4 linked regions of the Nothobranchius furzeri genome follow. The protein of the gene in region 1 purifies or fractionates together with the protein of each later gene. This does not show direct contact. Links are inferred from orthologs where the notes say so. Each region holds a gene or a part of one and is shown on either strand. Other genes may lie near its edges.

Evidence for each region. Proteins that work in one complex are often made in the same cells at the same time.
Region 2: the proteins of faf2 (region 1) and ubac2 purify together in Homo sapiens (affinity purification with western blotting; 7 studies listed by BioGRID and IntAct, with this or other methods). This does not show direct contact. The link is inferred for Nothobranchius furzeri from reciprocal best matches to the Homo sapiens genes FAF2 and UBAC2.
Region 3: the proteins of faf2 (region 1) and setdb1b purify together in Homo sapiens (affinity purification with mass spectrometry; 3 studies listed by BioGRID and IntAct, counting the BioPlex papers as one, with this or other methods). This does not show direct contact. The link is inferred for Nothobranchius furzeri from reciprocal best matches to the Homo sapiens genes FAF2 and SETDB1.
Region 4: the proteins of faf2 (region 1) and ubl4a purify together in Homo sapiens (affinity purification with mass spectrometry; 3 studies listed by BioGRID and IntAct, with this or other methods). This does not show direct contact. The link is inferred for Nothobranchius furzeri from reciprocal best matches to the Homo sapiens genes FAF2 and UBL4A.

What each region holds. Positions count from the first base shown.
Region 1 is NC_091742.1:44,986,938-44,990,043, reverse strand, and holds the end of faf2 (FAS-associated factor 2), read left to right. Parts: intron 1-163; coding exon 164-255; intron 256-1,429; coding exon 1,430-1,607; intron 1,608-1,697; coding exon 1,698-1,869; intron 1,870-1,951; coding exon 1,952-2,095; intron 2,096-2,201; coding exon 2,202-2,384; 3' UTR 2,385-2,606; downstream 2,607-3,106. UniProt on the Homo sapiens protein: Plays an important role in endoplasmic reticulum-associated degradation (ERAD) that mediates ubiquitin-dependent degradation of misfolded endoplasmic reticulum proteins.
Region 2 is NC_091752.1:31,488,582-31,492,574, forward strand, and holds the start of ubac2 (ubiquitin-associated domain-containing protein 2), read right to left. Parts: upstream 2,801-3,993; 5' UTR 2,663-2,800; coding exon 2,632-2,662; intron 2,357-2,631; coding exon 2,232-2,356; intron 2,112-2,231; coding exon 1,992-2,111; intron 1,805-1,991; coding exon 1,698-1,804; intron 1-1,697. UniProt on the Homo sapiens protein: Restricts trafficking of FAF2 from the endoplasmic reticulum to lipid droplets.
Region 3 is NC_091745.1:76,219,461-76,223,601, reverse strand, and holds the start of setdb1b (histone-lysine N-methyltransferase SETDB1-B), read right to left. Parts: upstream 2,801-4,141; 5' UTR 2,700-2,800; coding exon 2,680-2,699; intron 1,844-2,679; coding exon 1,640-1,843; intron 1,567-1,639; coding exon 1,403-1,566; intron 1,322-1,402; coding exon 1,284-1,321; intron 1-1,283. UniProt on the Homo sapiens protein: Histone methyltransferase that specifically trimethylates 'Lys-9' of histone H3. H3 'Lys-9' trimethylation represents a specific tag for epigenetic transcriptional repression by recruiting HP1 (CBX1, CBX3 and/or CBX5) proteins to methylated histones.
Region 4 is NC_091757.1:40,380,206-40,384,303, forward strand, and holds the start of ubl4a (ubiquitin-like protein 4A), read right to left. Parts: upstream 2,801-4,098; 5' UTR 2,611-2,800; coding exon 2,563-2,610; intron 1-2,562. UniProt on the Homo sapiens protein: As part of a cytosolic protein quality control complex, the BAG6/BAT3 complex, maintains misfolded and hydrophobic patches-containing proteins in a soluble state and participates in their proper delivery to the endoplasmic reticulum or alternatively can promote their sorting to the proteasome where they undergo degradation.

The sequences.
Region 1 (3,106 bases):
CTCTGATCTGGTCATTCTCTAGATTCTGAAACAGAGTGTGACGTACGAGGCCTTCATTCCTGCTAGAGACCTCTGCAGATGCACTGATTAATGAGTGAACCACACCTTAACTGTTAGATGAGGTGAACATATTCATCCTTTCCTCTGATCTGTGGCTCCTCAGCTCCACGTTATGTACAGAAGAGGTCATAACCTTCCTCAACACACGGATGCTCTTCTGGGCATGTTCCACCAGCAAGCCCGAGGGCTACCGAGGTGTGTATGCCCGTTCATTCGTTCATCTGTTATCAGTGTGACCCCGGCTTTCCACAGCAGCCGTCAGCAGCACGTTACTGCAGCAGCACGTCATAGCTGCTGATAGGAACGGCTGTGGTCAACAGAACCTTTTCCACAGGAGCCGTCAGCAGCTGTCAGCAGCACGAGTCGGCCGCGTCTCAGGAGCAGCATGTCGCGGCCTTTACGCGCCGGTTCTATTTCCTACGCGCGACGCCTCTGAAACGGGTCAAGTTCGACATTTTTGGGGAAGGAAAGACAGGAAATCGGACGCGGAAATGGAGAGAAGCTCCCGAAATTTTCAGAATAAAGAACGTACTGCCTTCCGGTCGCTTTACTTTAAAAAAGGTTACTAACTGTGCGGCCCCGTGAGAAGTTATCACCTAGCTAGCGGTCTCCTTTGTTTTTCAGGTCCGTATCGGCGATTATAAAACGGACAGAATATAAAAACACAAACATTTTGGAGCCATGTTGTAGTTTTCTCCTGCTTGTTGTTGTGTTTACTGACGAAGTCACTCGTGTGACTTCGTGCCCTGTCGGTGACAGCTGCTCCTCTGCTGCGTCGCGTCTCGTGGGAAGGGCCAAGCAGCAGCTAGACGTGCTGCTGCAGTAACGTGCTGCTGACGGCTCCCGTGGAAACCTGGGGTAAGTCTGGCTGCTCTGAAAACAACAAACACTCTGATATCACTGGTAAACAACATGTTGAGACCAGGGCTGGGCAATAAATCCACTCTTACCGAGATAATTGTTCCCGTCTCAGGAATGAGATGAGAACATGAAATATGTGTGTGAGCTGGCAACATTCATGTCCTGTAAGAAGCTGCACCACCTTCAGTGGCATACCAGTGTGACTCAACCTGGAACACGTGACATCTAGTGGACAACTGTTGTTCCTGCACACACCTGTAGTTCTAGTCTGTTCATCGCTAGCGAGGTGAAATCCTCTATATGTCGTGATATTAGTTGTAGGCCATGCCGCCCAGCCCTAGTTCAGACCCATGTGGAGTCCCCAAAGCTAGAAGCTAGTGCTGCTTTTCTGTCCTACAGGGACTCTTCTGTTAGCTTGAGTGGCTACAAAAACATTAAGATCCGTGCAGAAGCGTGGTAATAATGGTAGTCCACTGGGCTTTTGTGTAACAATGGTTTCTATACCAAGTGTCCCAAGCGTTGCGGGAGAACACCTACCCATTCCTGGCCATGATCATGCTAAAGGACCGGAAGATGACCGTGGTGGGTCGGCTCGAGGGTCTGATTCAGCCTGAGGAGCTCATCAATCAGGTCACCTTCATCATGGATGCCAACCAGACATACCTGATGTCAGAGCGCCTTGAGCGGTACGTCAGACCAGCTGGAGTTAGTGAGACCGTCGTCACATTCTCTACAGCTGAAGTAGCAGCGAGTGAAGACTGAAGTGTTGTTTCCAGAGAGGAGAGGAACCAGACCCAGGTGCTGAGGCAGCAGCAGGATGAGGCCTACCTGGCCTCCTTACGCGCCGACCAGGAGAAGGAGAGGAAGAAAAGGGAGGAGCTGGAGCAGAAGAAGCAAGAGGAGGAAAAGGTCCGACAGAGTGCTCTTGCAGAGGAGAGGAGACGAAGAGTGAGTCTGGTCGTCTTCGTTTGTACATGGATACGTTGGTCTTCCCCTACATGTCTGATTCCTGTTGTTGTTTTCACTCCAGACACTAGAAGAGGAGAAGGAGAGGAAGTCGGAGTGCCTTCCTCCAGAACCATCTGCTGATGATCCAGAAAGTGTTAAAATAGTGTTCAAGTTGCCCAACGACACACGAGTAGAGAGGCGGTTCCTGTTCGCTCAGTCTCTGACGGTGAGCGCTGGTGTCTTTGGTCTCCTTCACACGCCTCTGGTCAATGTTTGGTTATTAGACGCTGACATGTGATGAAACATCTACATGTTTCTTCTTCCTTCCACAGGTAATCTACGACTTCCTTTTCTCTTTGAAGGAAACTCCAGAGAAGTTTCAGATCGTGACAAACTTCCCTCGCCGAGTCTTGCCCTGCCTTCCGACTGCAGAGCAGCCCAACCCCCCCACGCTGAAGGAGGCAGGACTCAGTCGCTCCGAGGTCGTTTTTGTTCAGGACCTCACGGACGACTAATAGATGACTTACCTCGTCTACATGGAGACACGTTTATCTCTGACCCACCCATGTTGTTTGGTTTGTTTTGGTAAATGGCCGTTTTACAGAAGGGATGGTTGCTATAGAAACTAACCTGGATCACTAAACCACCCTGCATCCAGTGCTCCTTCACTTGTGTTGACAGGGTTCCCATTAGCCTGCAGTCTTGAATTTTATCAAATAAATATTTCTTGAAGTGGTTCCTTGTGTGGAGAAACTGTTGTTGGTGTTAGCTAACAGTTATCCTCCTCCCAGCAGTGAGACTAAAGCTGCAGCACAACCTCCTCGTCCCACACAAGCTGTCACAACCGAGGAAGACTGGTTGTTAGTTACTCGAGGGGAGTTCCCTGCTGTTTCTCTTGGTTCATGCTTTAGCCCACAACCCCTACAGCGATTATCAAGCACAACTAGCACGGTCCAAGTCTGAAGCAGCTGTGATCGAGAGTTGAAAGGATGGGAACCCTGTTTAAATGAGCCATCACTTGTACATAAGTTAAATATTTAAATGCCCACTATTGTTTTTATTTGACTCGTCATGAAACGACCAAATGCAGGTTTGTTACTATGTAAAGCAGACTGCCTCCAGCTCATGAAGTTAAAACGTACAATATTTAACGAAGGCCACAGCTTTTACATGTGGCTCTATGTAGTTTAGTCTGCCCATAGTGTGCCTGTGGTTACTCATAGATGCCTGTTTTGCC
Region 2 (3,993 bases), on another chromosome or scaffold:
TGTACAATTCTGGACAAACCTCGTCCAACCATTGTGAACGTCCCCTTCTTAATGACTGGATCACAACTCTTCCATCTTACTGCCCTCAGCCCCTCCCCCATCTACACCTACAGTACTCTTCTTTGTGCACGAAGCGCAGGTTCTGTTTGTGTTGGTAAACAATTAGTTGATGGACCTGTTGTCTGTGAATGCAGCCTGGATTTTGTCGGCTGGAAGAGCTGGAAGTGTGTTCGGAGACCTGTGTAATAAGCATGGAGCGTGAGTTAAGAATGAAGAAATAAAGCACTTAAAATAGGGGTGCTCCGATTGATCGGCCACAGATAATTATCGGCCGATTTTCCTGCAAAAGTGTGTGATCGCCGATCACTGCCTTTCATTTCCGATCTGGCACTGGCGCTTACTCTTCCCAGCCGGTAGTTCACCCTTCCGCTTCTCCCCGCTTAGTGCACATGCGCGTGGTGGCAAACCCGCAAAGACAAACATGTCTGCCGTGTGGAACTTCTTTACGGTTTGCGAGAGTGATATTAAGTTTGCGTCTTGCAACACTTGCAACGAAAACATACCCCACGGAGGAAGCGCTTCAAAAAAATTCAACACAACGAATTTGATCCGACATTTAAAGACTAAACACTTGGCGGAGCATGGTGAGTTTTTGAGGCTCACTGCAGACAATGACAAGAAGCCTGCTAAAGCGGCCACAGTCAGACGGCAGCTAACGCAGCCGACGCTTGGAAACACTCGCCCATATGAGCGTGGCAGTCAAAAGGCCAAGCAAATTACCCGTAAAATCATTGAGTTTATTGGACTAGACGACCAGCCTTTTTCAGTTGTGGAAGACGCCGGATTCCGCCGACTACTAACCCACTTGGAACCTCGCTACATGCTACCAGGACGTAAATATTTCGCCGACATAGCCCTTCCAGAGCTCCCCAGACAGTGCATTCTTTCATCGAGGGACTCCTTAAAGAAAGCGTCTCATCCTCTGTGAGTTTCACAAGTGACATTTGGAGCTCAGATGTCAGTCCTGTGTCAATGCTGAGCTTAACAGCTCACTGGATGTATCTGAATGTATCCTTGGTTACTTAATTTGATTTAGGCGGTGATGTGAGATATTGACTTTTTTTGCACTATTGTAGCCTAAAGAGAGCCTGCATGTTTTCAATTTCTTATAAATTCTTACTGATATTACATAATTTGAAGTGAAGTAAAACCATGTTTTTTCTGAATTAATATGTAACACATGCATTAGAACTCACCATAGCTAAATGAACAATTTACAGCCAATCTATGTAATTGGTATCGGTAATCGGCTGATCGGCCTCTTGGTTGATCGGTATCGGTGACCGGCAGATTAAAACCTGATCGGAGCATCCCTAACTTAAAATGTTGTCTTGTTCACCATAAACACCACAGCTGAGCAAGACCAGTGAGGGTTCATTAAGGATTCAGTGTTGACTAGCGATGGTAGAATCGAGATCGAACAACGGGCCATCCCACGTTATTTTCATAGTTTAACAAATTAATGTTTTTAGGTAGTAAATTAATTTTTGCTCAAAGAAGTACTTCACTGTGAAAGAACCACGTAGTCGCATGGAGGGGAGAGGGTAAAAAGATAAAAGATTGCTTTACATCATAATAAAAAAGAAAATGTATTGATGTTGGAAATGTATTTGCAGAGATGCATTATATCAACCTACAGTCCAGCAGAAACTTCTTCCACTTCATAGTCAAACAGATACAGGACAGCCTGGGCCAACAGCAGGTCCACCAATGCAGAGAGACACCAAGTGCCCAGCAGGAAGGACTGAAGGTAAGAACATTATACAGGATTTGTTTTACTACACCTGAGCAAAACAGGCTGTGTTTATTTTCAAATACAACCACAAAGGCTATCAGATGAAGAAGCTCTGTGTTCTCTTTCTTAAAAGAACACTTTAAATGACATCCTAGGAAATGCAACACTAGTTCTCAGGTCCAGTTTTTAAACTTACAGCGAACTTCCTGGTTCCGAACCTCCTCTCAAAGATTCGAAAGTTATAAATTAGGAGGCTGCTGCAGAAGGAATCCTTCACATCGAGACAGACGAACCTGCCACAAATCAGCCTCCACACCTGCAGCACACAAACAAAACAAACACACACACACAAGCACTACAACACTTCCTCTGGGTGTTTGGCTCACAGCTCCTGAGCGTTGACTGTATAAATAGGATCATTTTAAACGAGACAAACCTGGTGCTGATGTGTGATGGCCTGTAAGTTGTAAATAAACATATCTTGGTACTGTGGCAGCAGGGTCAGCATCACCGTCAGCCCATTGAGAACCAGCAGAAGGCCTTTAGACAGAGGAGCCTTGTCTGTTCGAAAAGTACATACAAACGTCACAGAGTTTAAAGATAGAATATATCTAATTTAAGTGAAAAAATAGCTCGTTAGTTAGGATAACTGAATAATTACAGTTTAAACTGTTAACGGTAATTATTGGATAACAACAAAGAGTTGTTTATATAACTGACAGGCACAGCCCTGAGTAAATGAATGGCAACGAGATTCTAACGCTCGTTAGCTAAGCTAGCGTAGAAAGTGTCCGACGAAAAGGTGAGCAGAACGATTCTTCCACCAGGAAACTTACAGAGGCCCCGGGAACCGGTGGTGGTGAACATGGTCTCCGGGTGAGCAGAATAACTCAAAAGAAGGGTGGTGTGGCCAAGACTAAACGCATTAATCACTCAAACACCGAGGTGAAGTTGTTAACAGGATCCATGTTGTCACGACGAGACACAACGACGGAGGCCCGAGAAGGACAAATATTCTTTTGTTCGAAGTTTAAGTGTGGCACATGTATTTTGACGCTAGAGGGCACTGTTGCGTATTGTTGATTACCAATCCTTCAAAAGGTTTTCGACAGCAGATCGGGGGATCCTGCCAAAACGGCATAAATAAGCACATTTATTATCATATTTTCAATATTGTTTATTTATTTATATTAATCTCTCCACAGCCTCTCTTTTCTGGATAGAGACAATAGACACAGACCGAAACATACTAACACTTAATAATTTTGAGAAAATGTTCTACTAAGTAACTATTGTAACTTCTATTGTTACTATTGTTACCTCTCCTCCTATTAATTCCATCAAAAGGACAAAAACAACTATTGGGATTTTTTTTGGCTTCATCTAGATAAGGAAGCTGAAATGTTCTCTGATAGATGATTTGTGTAGATTCTATCTCAAATTTGGAAACAACTTGATTTAACAGAAGCAAAGTGTAGTTCCATATCATCACCACTGGGGGCACTAATGTCTCCATCTCTCCTTGTCTTTTGTATTCTCTACACAATTTTAAGTGTTTAAAGCTAAATAATAAGATAAAACTTCTGTTAAAGCGACTTGTCTTGTTACTAACACCAAAAATATAGTTTAAAGGATTTACAATAATTATGTATACTAAGTATGTTTATGTTTATGTCTATTTATTTTGCAGACACTTTTATCTTTTAAAAAATAATCCATGCCTTTGTGTCATCACGCTTAGACTATTGTAACGCTCTTTTTACTGGTCTCAGCAAAACCTCCCTCTCACGCCTTCAAGCCATCCAAAATGCAGCAGCCAGACTCCTAACCAAATCCAGCAGACGAGCTCACATCACTCCAGTTTTACAGTCCCTCCACTGGCTCCCGGTAGAATATAGAATTCAGTTTAAAGTTTTAGTCCTGACCTATAGAGCTCTTAACAACCAGGTTCCAAGCTACCTATCTGAGCTTTTATCCCCACACATCACCTCTCGGAACCTTAGATCCACATCTGAAAACCTCCTGGCTGTTCCTCGAACCAGACTAAAAACCAAAGGGGACAGGGCCTTTCAGACTATTGCACTCAGACTTTGGAACAGTCTACCTTCAAATCTCCCTCTCTCTAACACTGTAGAGGTCTTTAAAAATCATCTAAAAACTCACCTTTTCATCCAGGCGTTCCCTCCCTAAATGTTTCA
Region 3 (4,141 bases), on another chromosome or scaffold:
GTAACCTAAAAAAATAACTATGTTTTGGCTGAATTTAAAGAAATGATTTCCCATTTAATATTTTTCACCGAGGATTGTGGTTCACTTGTTGAATCAATACATTTGCAGTGGTCTCTAGTAGAAATTAATGCCTTTAAGTTGTACTCTGGAGAAAAAAAAGCTCTGATGCACCTGTTCCAGGAAGTACGAGTCATCTGGAGTTGCTTCAGACGACAGGATTGGAAGTCTTATTTCCTGATATTCAGACATCTCTCCTCTGATTGGATAACAGCAACACAGCTCTACCGCTGACTCTGCCCTGCATAGTTGATGTTTTATCTCCACAAATAACACAAGCCTGGAGGAGTCCTGCTGTGTGGTGGAGTATCTAACGCTAACAGTTAGCTTCTACTAGCCGAGACGTTCTCTGCTGTTACCTGGACGCTAAACCAACAACAGCCTTCCCCGTTGTGAGCCAAGATGGGTGAGTCCATGAATGTTCAGTGACAGTGTGACGTAGATCTGTCAGGATTTTCTATTTTCTATCAGAGACTAAAGCAGGAGATAAGTGTAGGAGACTGTTTTCATGTTCGGACGGCATGAAGAACTCTGAGTGACCCATTATAACCTAGAGGATAAAGTATACTTTATCCTTTACATTTGATGTCCCATGGGCTGTCGGAGCACCTGATGTCCTCTGGACGATGCCAGCGTGCTCTTCTATGACCCATTATAATCATTAACTCATTCACTGCCATTGAGGACTAAAGTCGTCATTTGCATTTTGTTACTGTGTGGGTGTCGGACGAGCCCCCGCACGGTGAGAACAAACAGCCGATCTTCATCCGCGTACGTCACAGGTCACGTGATCAGGAAGCAGAACGTCATGTGTTAGGAGATCGTTTTGGGCCGTTGCTGTAAAAAAAAGTGAGGCGCGAACCGGAAAAGCTTCTGCCGATCACACTTCAACAACGGATTATGAAAGAACGGATAACGCTCGAAACGCGCGGATTCTTCCTGATGTAAAAGGTGAGTCTCCATTTTGTTTTGGTTGTTTCGGCGTCGACATCATCCTAGCATGCAACGTTCTGTCACTCTTAAAAAAAAACAGTAAAAACGGTGAGAAACGCTGGCAGCGAATGAGTTAAACAATATTTCTCAGTTCTCCACACCTTTAAAGCTGCCTGTTATGTGTCAACAGCACTTTTTGTCCCTGATGCTCATTAACAAAAACAACACTGTAGTAATTACATAGTAATTAGATATGAATATATTTTCAGAAACACTGTTTTTGTTGCTCTCACCACTGAGTCTTTGCCTGGAGATTTCGTTGGAGGAACCACTGATGGTGCAGAACAGAAGAAAAAGAGATGAACAACAGTCTCAGTGTTTTCATATCTTTTTACAAAACAGCACAACTTACAACATCCAACTGCAATGACATCGTCATCGTCATCATCATCTATCTCAATGACTTCAGAGCACAGTCCATCTCCACCCCCTTCATCCTCAGAGCTGCTCTCTCGGTAGACAAGACCGTTCAGCTGATAAGCCTCCTTTACCAGTTTCTCACACCTCTTTAAAGATCTAAAAAAAGGAGACAAGAAGATGAGCTCGTTATAGATAAGCACTAATAAAACAGACAACCATTCCACCTCACTGGTTTGTGTCTTTGAGAAGCATCTCCGTCTTTGCCTCCTCTTCCTCTTTCTGTTCCACCCACTGCTTCAGTTCTTTCAACTGAGCTTTTTTCTTCTGCACCATCTCACTCTGTTCCACAGCTTCTTCAACCAGCTTCTTCAGATCATCCAAGGAAACACCCAAATCGTCCTCCAGACTCGAGTCCCAGCCGTCCACCTCCATTCTGAGGAGGGAATGCAGAGAAACACATTTAAACAGCGCTACATTTTTAAAAACAAACTCAACCGTCTGCTTTACAACCATCAGCTTAAACTCCCACAGATGGCCAGAATGAAGCATGATAACATTTATTTACAGCTTGGTAGTGATTAATTAAGTTTAACGAAAAGAGTTATATTCTTTATATATATATATATATATATATATATATATATATATATATATATATATATATTAGCATTTTTGTGATTTTGATCAAGTTTTAAACCTCACTCTGTGTGAAAGACATTAATAATACCTAATAGTCACACTCCCTAAATAACAACGCATTACTGTTATAGACGTGTCTAGCATACGGGTCATCATCCTTTATGGTAAAAACAGGATAAAATACACTCAAGTTAATCTGATTTTTTAAAGATGCAGTGAATCCATAAAAGAAATTCCAGATGCATACCAGTTTATCTGAATAATACACATGTATAAGATAGTAGATCACTAGGGACATCAGGAGTAAACACAACTTTCCCACTTAGTTGTTGCAAAAAAGATGAACTTATGAGCTGAACTTGAGTAAATAATAAAAATGTTGCTCATTTGTTGTCGGAGAGTGATGTAAAGCCCTAATGTCTTCGTTTTACACGTTAGATTTGTGCAGCAACAACAAACCCTTGTTGAGACGCATGCTAACCGGTTAGCTTAGCATGGGAAAAGAACAATTCTGATTTGAATGAGAGGTGCAGGCTGCTGAAACAAATATGTTCATTGCACAATAGAGAATTGCATCAAAAACATTCGTAACCTATGAAACATGTTCTAATTAACGGGAAAGCCACCCACCGCTCGCTGATCTCCATCATCTCGGACGCAGATGTAAAACTAGCTTATTCCGCTAATGCTAAAGGGTAAGCTACAAAAGATGTTTCGATTCCCGGGGTGTCCGAAAAGGGCGGTGTAGTAGATCGCAGCATTGGAAAAAAAGTCCCGCCCACGCAGGATGTTATTGTGACTTAATAATTGAACCGAGCCAAACAATGACGAGTTCGTTTGGTTTTCAGATTTTTTTTAATGTTTAGGAATGTGAATAGTTTTACGTGGGGCAGTTTAAAAGTTATACAAGTATAACATATTGCAAATTGTTTGATTTACTTTTTCATTTTACCGAATAAACAAGTTTATCAAATTAAATCAGCTATTGTGGTCAAACATTTACTCTTTTGTTCTGTAACTAATTGCATTTCTTTTTATTTTCTTTGAATATTTTATGCATTAATTGTGAAATCCTAATACAGTAGTTTTCATTCTGTTTGAAACAAAATATGGACCTTTTTTATAAATCAGTGTCTATCTACGTCTGTGTGAGTTAATTAGCTGTAGTTGGGTATTTATTTGAACTAATAACTAATAGTTTTATATCTGGCATGTTTTATTACAAACCACACATTTGTTCTGGTAAAATTTAGTACCTAAATATCTTAATTTTATATTATCTGGCCTTTTTAAGGTTCCATTTATTTAATTTAAAACAAGGGAGCTATGTTTATTTGCCAGCAGAGGGCGCAAAGTTCCCGTTCTTGCAAGGAACCAAAAAGAACTTCAGAGGAAGTGTTTCAATTAAGGAACTCTTTCAACTTTAGAAATCCAGTTCCTTATTCTCCTTCTACTCCTCGGTCTCTTCTTCAATACTACAATTTCCAAGAGAACAAAAAAAAGGATTAAGTTTTTTTAAGGCTCCATCAAACCAAGGAGGCTAAAATATTCTCTTCTAAAAGGCAAAGAACACAAGCGCAGTTACAGCTTTCATACACTGGAGGGCAGCAACTCCCCATCTTCACGTACATCCATTTTCTGAACCCGCTTGTCCGCGCGCGCGTGTGTGTGTGTGTGTGTGTGGGGGGGGGGGGGGTGCTGTCTCCAGCGGTCAATGGGCAATCGGGGGGTGCACCCTGGACAGAGAGCCAGTCCATCGCAGGGCAACCGAGGGCAACACAGAGACACACAGGACAAGCAATCTTGCACACACACGCGCACTCACCCTGTGCAGCCCCTCCCCATCTTTCCTTCTATTCTAAATGCTGTTGGACAAAAGTGTTCTATTTTTTGCCAGGAGAGGTCGCCAATTCCCAGTTCTTTCAAGGCAACAGAACACGGTTTTTGGAATCGTTGAAGTAAATATTTCTAAGGAACTTTTTTGACTTTATAAATTCAGTTCCTTCTACTCCGTCTACCCCCCCCCCCCCCTTTAATATTAATATTCCCAAGAGGAGAGAAAAAAGATTAAGATTTTTTAAATGCCCCGTTA
Region 4 (4,098 bases), on another chromosome or scaffold:
TCATGAATTCCAAAGTTTGCGTGGAAAATTGCTTGCGCAGTTTTCCAACCCCGTTGTGCGTGGCCCCTGGACTTTAAATATTCTGACTAAAACTGTCAGTGTTGTGCCGTCGTCCGGTAAAACCTCTTCACTACATTTAAATTTAAACCTGCCACTGCTATTGGCTAAGAGGTATGCAATGACGTTAGCTAGTACATTTTGATGTCACAATGCTTTTGTGAGCCTGTTTGTGTTTATTTGTTAGCGGCTCCGCTCTCTCGGTCTGCCAGGCAACAGCATTTGTTGCATTTTTCAAAGATGAAGTGGGAGTAACGTGAATTTCTTGTAGGGGGTGACTAACTCTTTAAAAAGCAAGTTGCAGGTAACATATTTTTTTCTAATTCATATAAAATGCTGTCCAAACATACTCTTTGAAATGCTTATTGTGGATATTTGGTTTAAAAACAGCAGTTTTCTAGTAAAAAGTGGCCTCTCTCAGCAAAGCTTCTAAAAAGGCTCTTTTTTTCTAAATCTGAACCTCTGATGTAACCAAAGGGAGTTAGAAGCTAGGCGCTGCCTCAGCTCTGTGTGGAGAGTGGGTAGTTTTAGGGTAGAGCGGTCATGTTATCCAGTCAGCGTGTGTGTTTACTAGTTTTGGATTGTGTTCATGTTGATAAACTATAGTTTGTGAAGGCTGTACCAACTCCAGCCTTTCTGGACATCGAGTCCACGGGTTTCCAGATAAGAGAAACTACGCCTCTATCTCACATGCCTGAGGGCGTTTTGTGCAGCTGAAAAGACGGGACTTCTGTAGCCCAAATCGGTTGGTACAGAGACAGGGAGGTCTGCGCTGGGCTCTGGAGACCCGTGGCAGGGTTTAAAAAAGTACATTCAGATTTCTGGAACTCAGATCACCGTCAGAACCAGGTCAGAACCGACCACCAGAAGAGACAGGCGGCTCAGCGGGCCAGCTGTTTTTTTTTTTGGTCCATCATAAGTATAATTACAAACATTTAAAGTTTCCTCTGTGTCAGAGCCGACATTAGGATCTACATTTTTCTCTAGATTAAGCTAACAGGACCCCGTCGGCTGACTTGGTTTGGCAAAGAAATAAAAAAAAAACTCTCTCACAAAAATGACTCTAAAAGCCTAAATAATTTATGAATGTGTAAAAAAAAGTTTAAAACGAGTTGCTATTATGTTTCTCTAAACATTGGTTTATTTGAGTCTCTAACCTGCAATTTGCTCTTTAAGCAAAAGCATTATTTATTTGTGGTGTTTTAATCCAGCTAAATATACAAACTTATACTCATTACTGCACCACAGTTGTGTTTTTTGTACAGGATTAAATAATGTAGAATAATTACTAGCCTGTTATAATTTTTGCTGCATTTTCACACCAGAAAATGGTTAAAAGCAGAGACAGAAGACTGGTTCTTTGTGTGAGTTTGGATATAAGGACAGGAAGCACTGAGAGGAAGTAAAAGAAGCACAAGCAACTGAGACGAAAGTGACGCAGTAACAAAGTTTAGGCAATTAACTTTGCATCAACTTCATGTATCATTTTTTAAATAAACTCACTGTTGGTAATGACATTTTCTGTTTATTTAGGAAACAGAGAAGGGTATTATAGACAGGTTTCTCGAGTCGCTAGCAAACATTAATGAGACTGGATTCAGCCAGAGGGAAGAATAATGAGATTCTTTAAGCTGCCGACTCAAAAATGAAACGAATTTCAATGAATATGTTATTCTGAAGGGCAAAGTTTAAATCAGGCTTGTGAGAAATGTAAATGACAACTTTTGAATTTGCTCACCGTGATTTCGTTGTCCTAATTTACATAAATTAGAAAATGTCTCGGCTGTGGTGCGCTGTTGGCTCAAACCCCAGACCTACTTAAATCTGTAAAATCATTATAAACAAGAAATTAAAAGCGTATCAATTATTTCTGTGTGTAGTAACACGGGATTGAGTTACGCAAGATCAGACTCTTCACATCTTAAAGACAAAGGTAGACGCCACAATGATTTGGGAATTTAGTTTACCTCAGCTATTAAAATACAACCTTTTGATTGTCACGCGACGGTGCTTTAAAAGATCGAAGTGTTTACAAATGAGTAAACACATCTAATTTCCAAATGTTGAAATTGAATGGAATCTGCACGTTTACGAATTAAAAACGGAATGCTTTGGTTTAAAAACTAAAGTTCTGGGTGATTTCCCTGTTACGATCACCATAGCAACCATACTCCAAGCTAACATTTGTCCAAGTCATACAGTCACGCACAACCTTCCACTTTAATAAATACAACCAATAAAGCATAAAAACGTGCATTTTTAAGGCCTCCTGTGACATTAGTGTTAACTAGCAGGACAGCTTCGGTAGAGATAACGTTTAAACTCGTCTCAGATGTTTATGTTTAACCGGTTTAACCCCACATAACCTACATAGAATGGTGTGTTTTGTCTAATTTCCTGACTAAAGAAGCATATATGTTCTCCCTTTACTTGCAAACTAATATGATAAATAACCATCGGTGTGCTGGCTACACCGGCAGTTAGCATCATGATGCGTTAACTCACCTGAATGTTACATTCCAGTCCTGAAAGCGGCTTCACCGTGATAATCATTATGAGAGCCGCAAAAATATCAAACCAAACACACGCGAAGAGGTTCAAACTTTAAATGATTTAAAATGTACCCAAATAACGTTACTTTAGTGGTTGGTAACGAGCAAACAGATTGTTCTCTTCTCAGTGGAACGTCTTCTTCTTTTTTCTTCTTCTGCGACTCTCCTCTGTTTCTTCTGCAGCTACTGCTTGCTCTCAACTGACAACAGCGCCACCGTCTGGCAGGAATATCTCAGCCCTTCAAACAAAACTGGAAAACAACAGAAATCTGCATTTCAAACGTAGAAAATTATGTTTAAAAAATCACAATTGATTCAAACACACTTGTGAAAATCAGCATATTTCACCTGCAGTAGTCGTCTAACATCAAGCCTATTCTGTCCGCCCGAGAAAATAAAACAGGCTTTTAATTTCACAGCCGAAATACCCCCAAATACCCCGATTAGACTTTTGTGAAACAGCTTCAAGTTTGCTTGTTTTAAATATATCGCCTTTGTTCTTATTTTTATTATGTTTCCTCACGAACTCACACTTCCATATTCGAGCAAAAATGAATTTGACACAAAACAACGCTGAGTAGCAATTACATTGAATTGCAATGTGTTGCCAAATAAAACATATAAAATAAATCACAGATTAACGTAAAACGGACCTATTGAAATGGAGCACAAACGCCTCATTGGACAGAAGAAGGAGCTATCAGAGTGCACACAGATAACCTTTGATTTGTTTTAGCTGGGGGGAAAGGCTATTCTCAGTTTGACGCTCCCCATTGGTTCCGATGGACTCCGAGGACCGTCTGACCCAATTCGGATCCAGTCCACGCATTTGTCATTACCTCTCCCCTCCCGTATGGATGGTCTCCGAGATGTTGGTCACGTGACTGCCTGTCTACGCTGCCTGCTCAGTCCCGGCCAGCAGGAGAAGCATCTTTCACTCGGGCACTTGCAGGAGAGATGTACACACCTGTCGGATGGACGGAGTCAAATAAGCACGCACTCACGGGAGTGAGGAAGAGGTACTGATCGATACCCAGACTGCACGTGGTAAGTGATGAGTGTCTGAAACACTATTATAGTCTTACTGGAGCATGCAAAACACATTTCATTTGTTATCTATCTATCTATCTATCTATCTATCTATCTATCTATCTATCTATCTATCTATCTATCTATCTATCTATCTATCATCTATCTATCTATCTATCTATCTATCTATCTATCTATCTATCTATCTATCTATCTATCTATCTATCTATCTATCTATCTATCTATCTATCTATCTATCTATCTATATATCATCTATCTATCTATCTATCTATCTATCTATCTATCTATCTATCTATCTATCTATCTATATATCATCTATCTATCTATCTATCTATCTATCTATCTATCTATCTATCTATCTATCTATCTATCTATCTATCTATCTATCTATCTATCTATCTATCTATCTATCTATCTATCTATCTATCTATCTATCTAT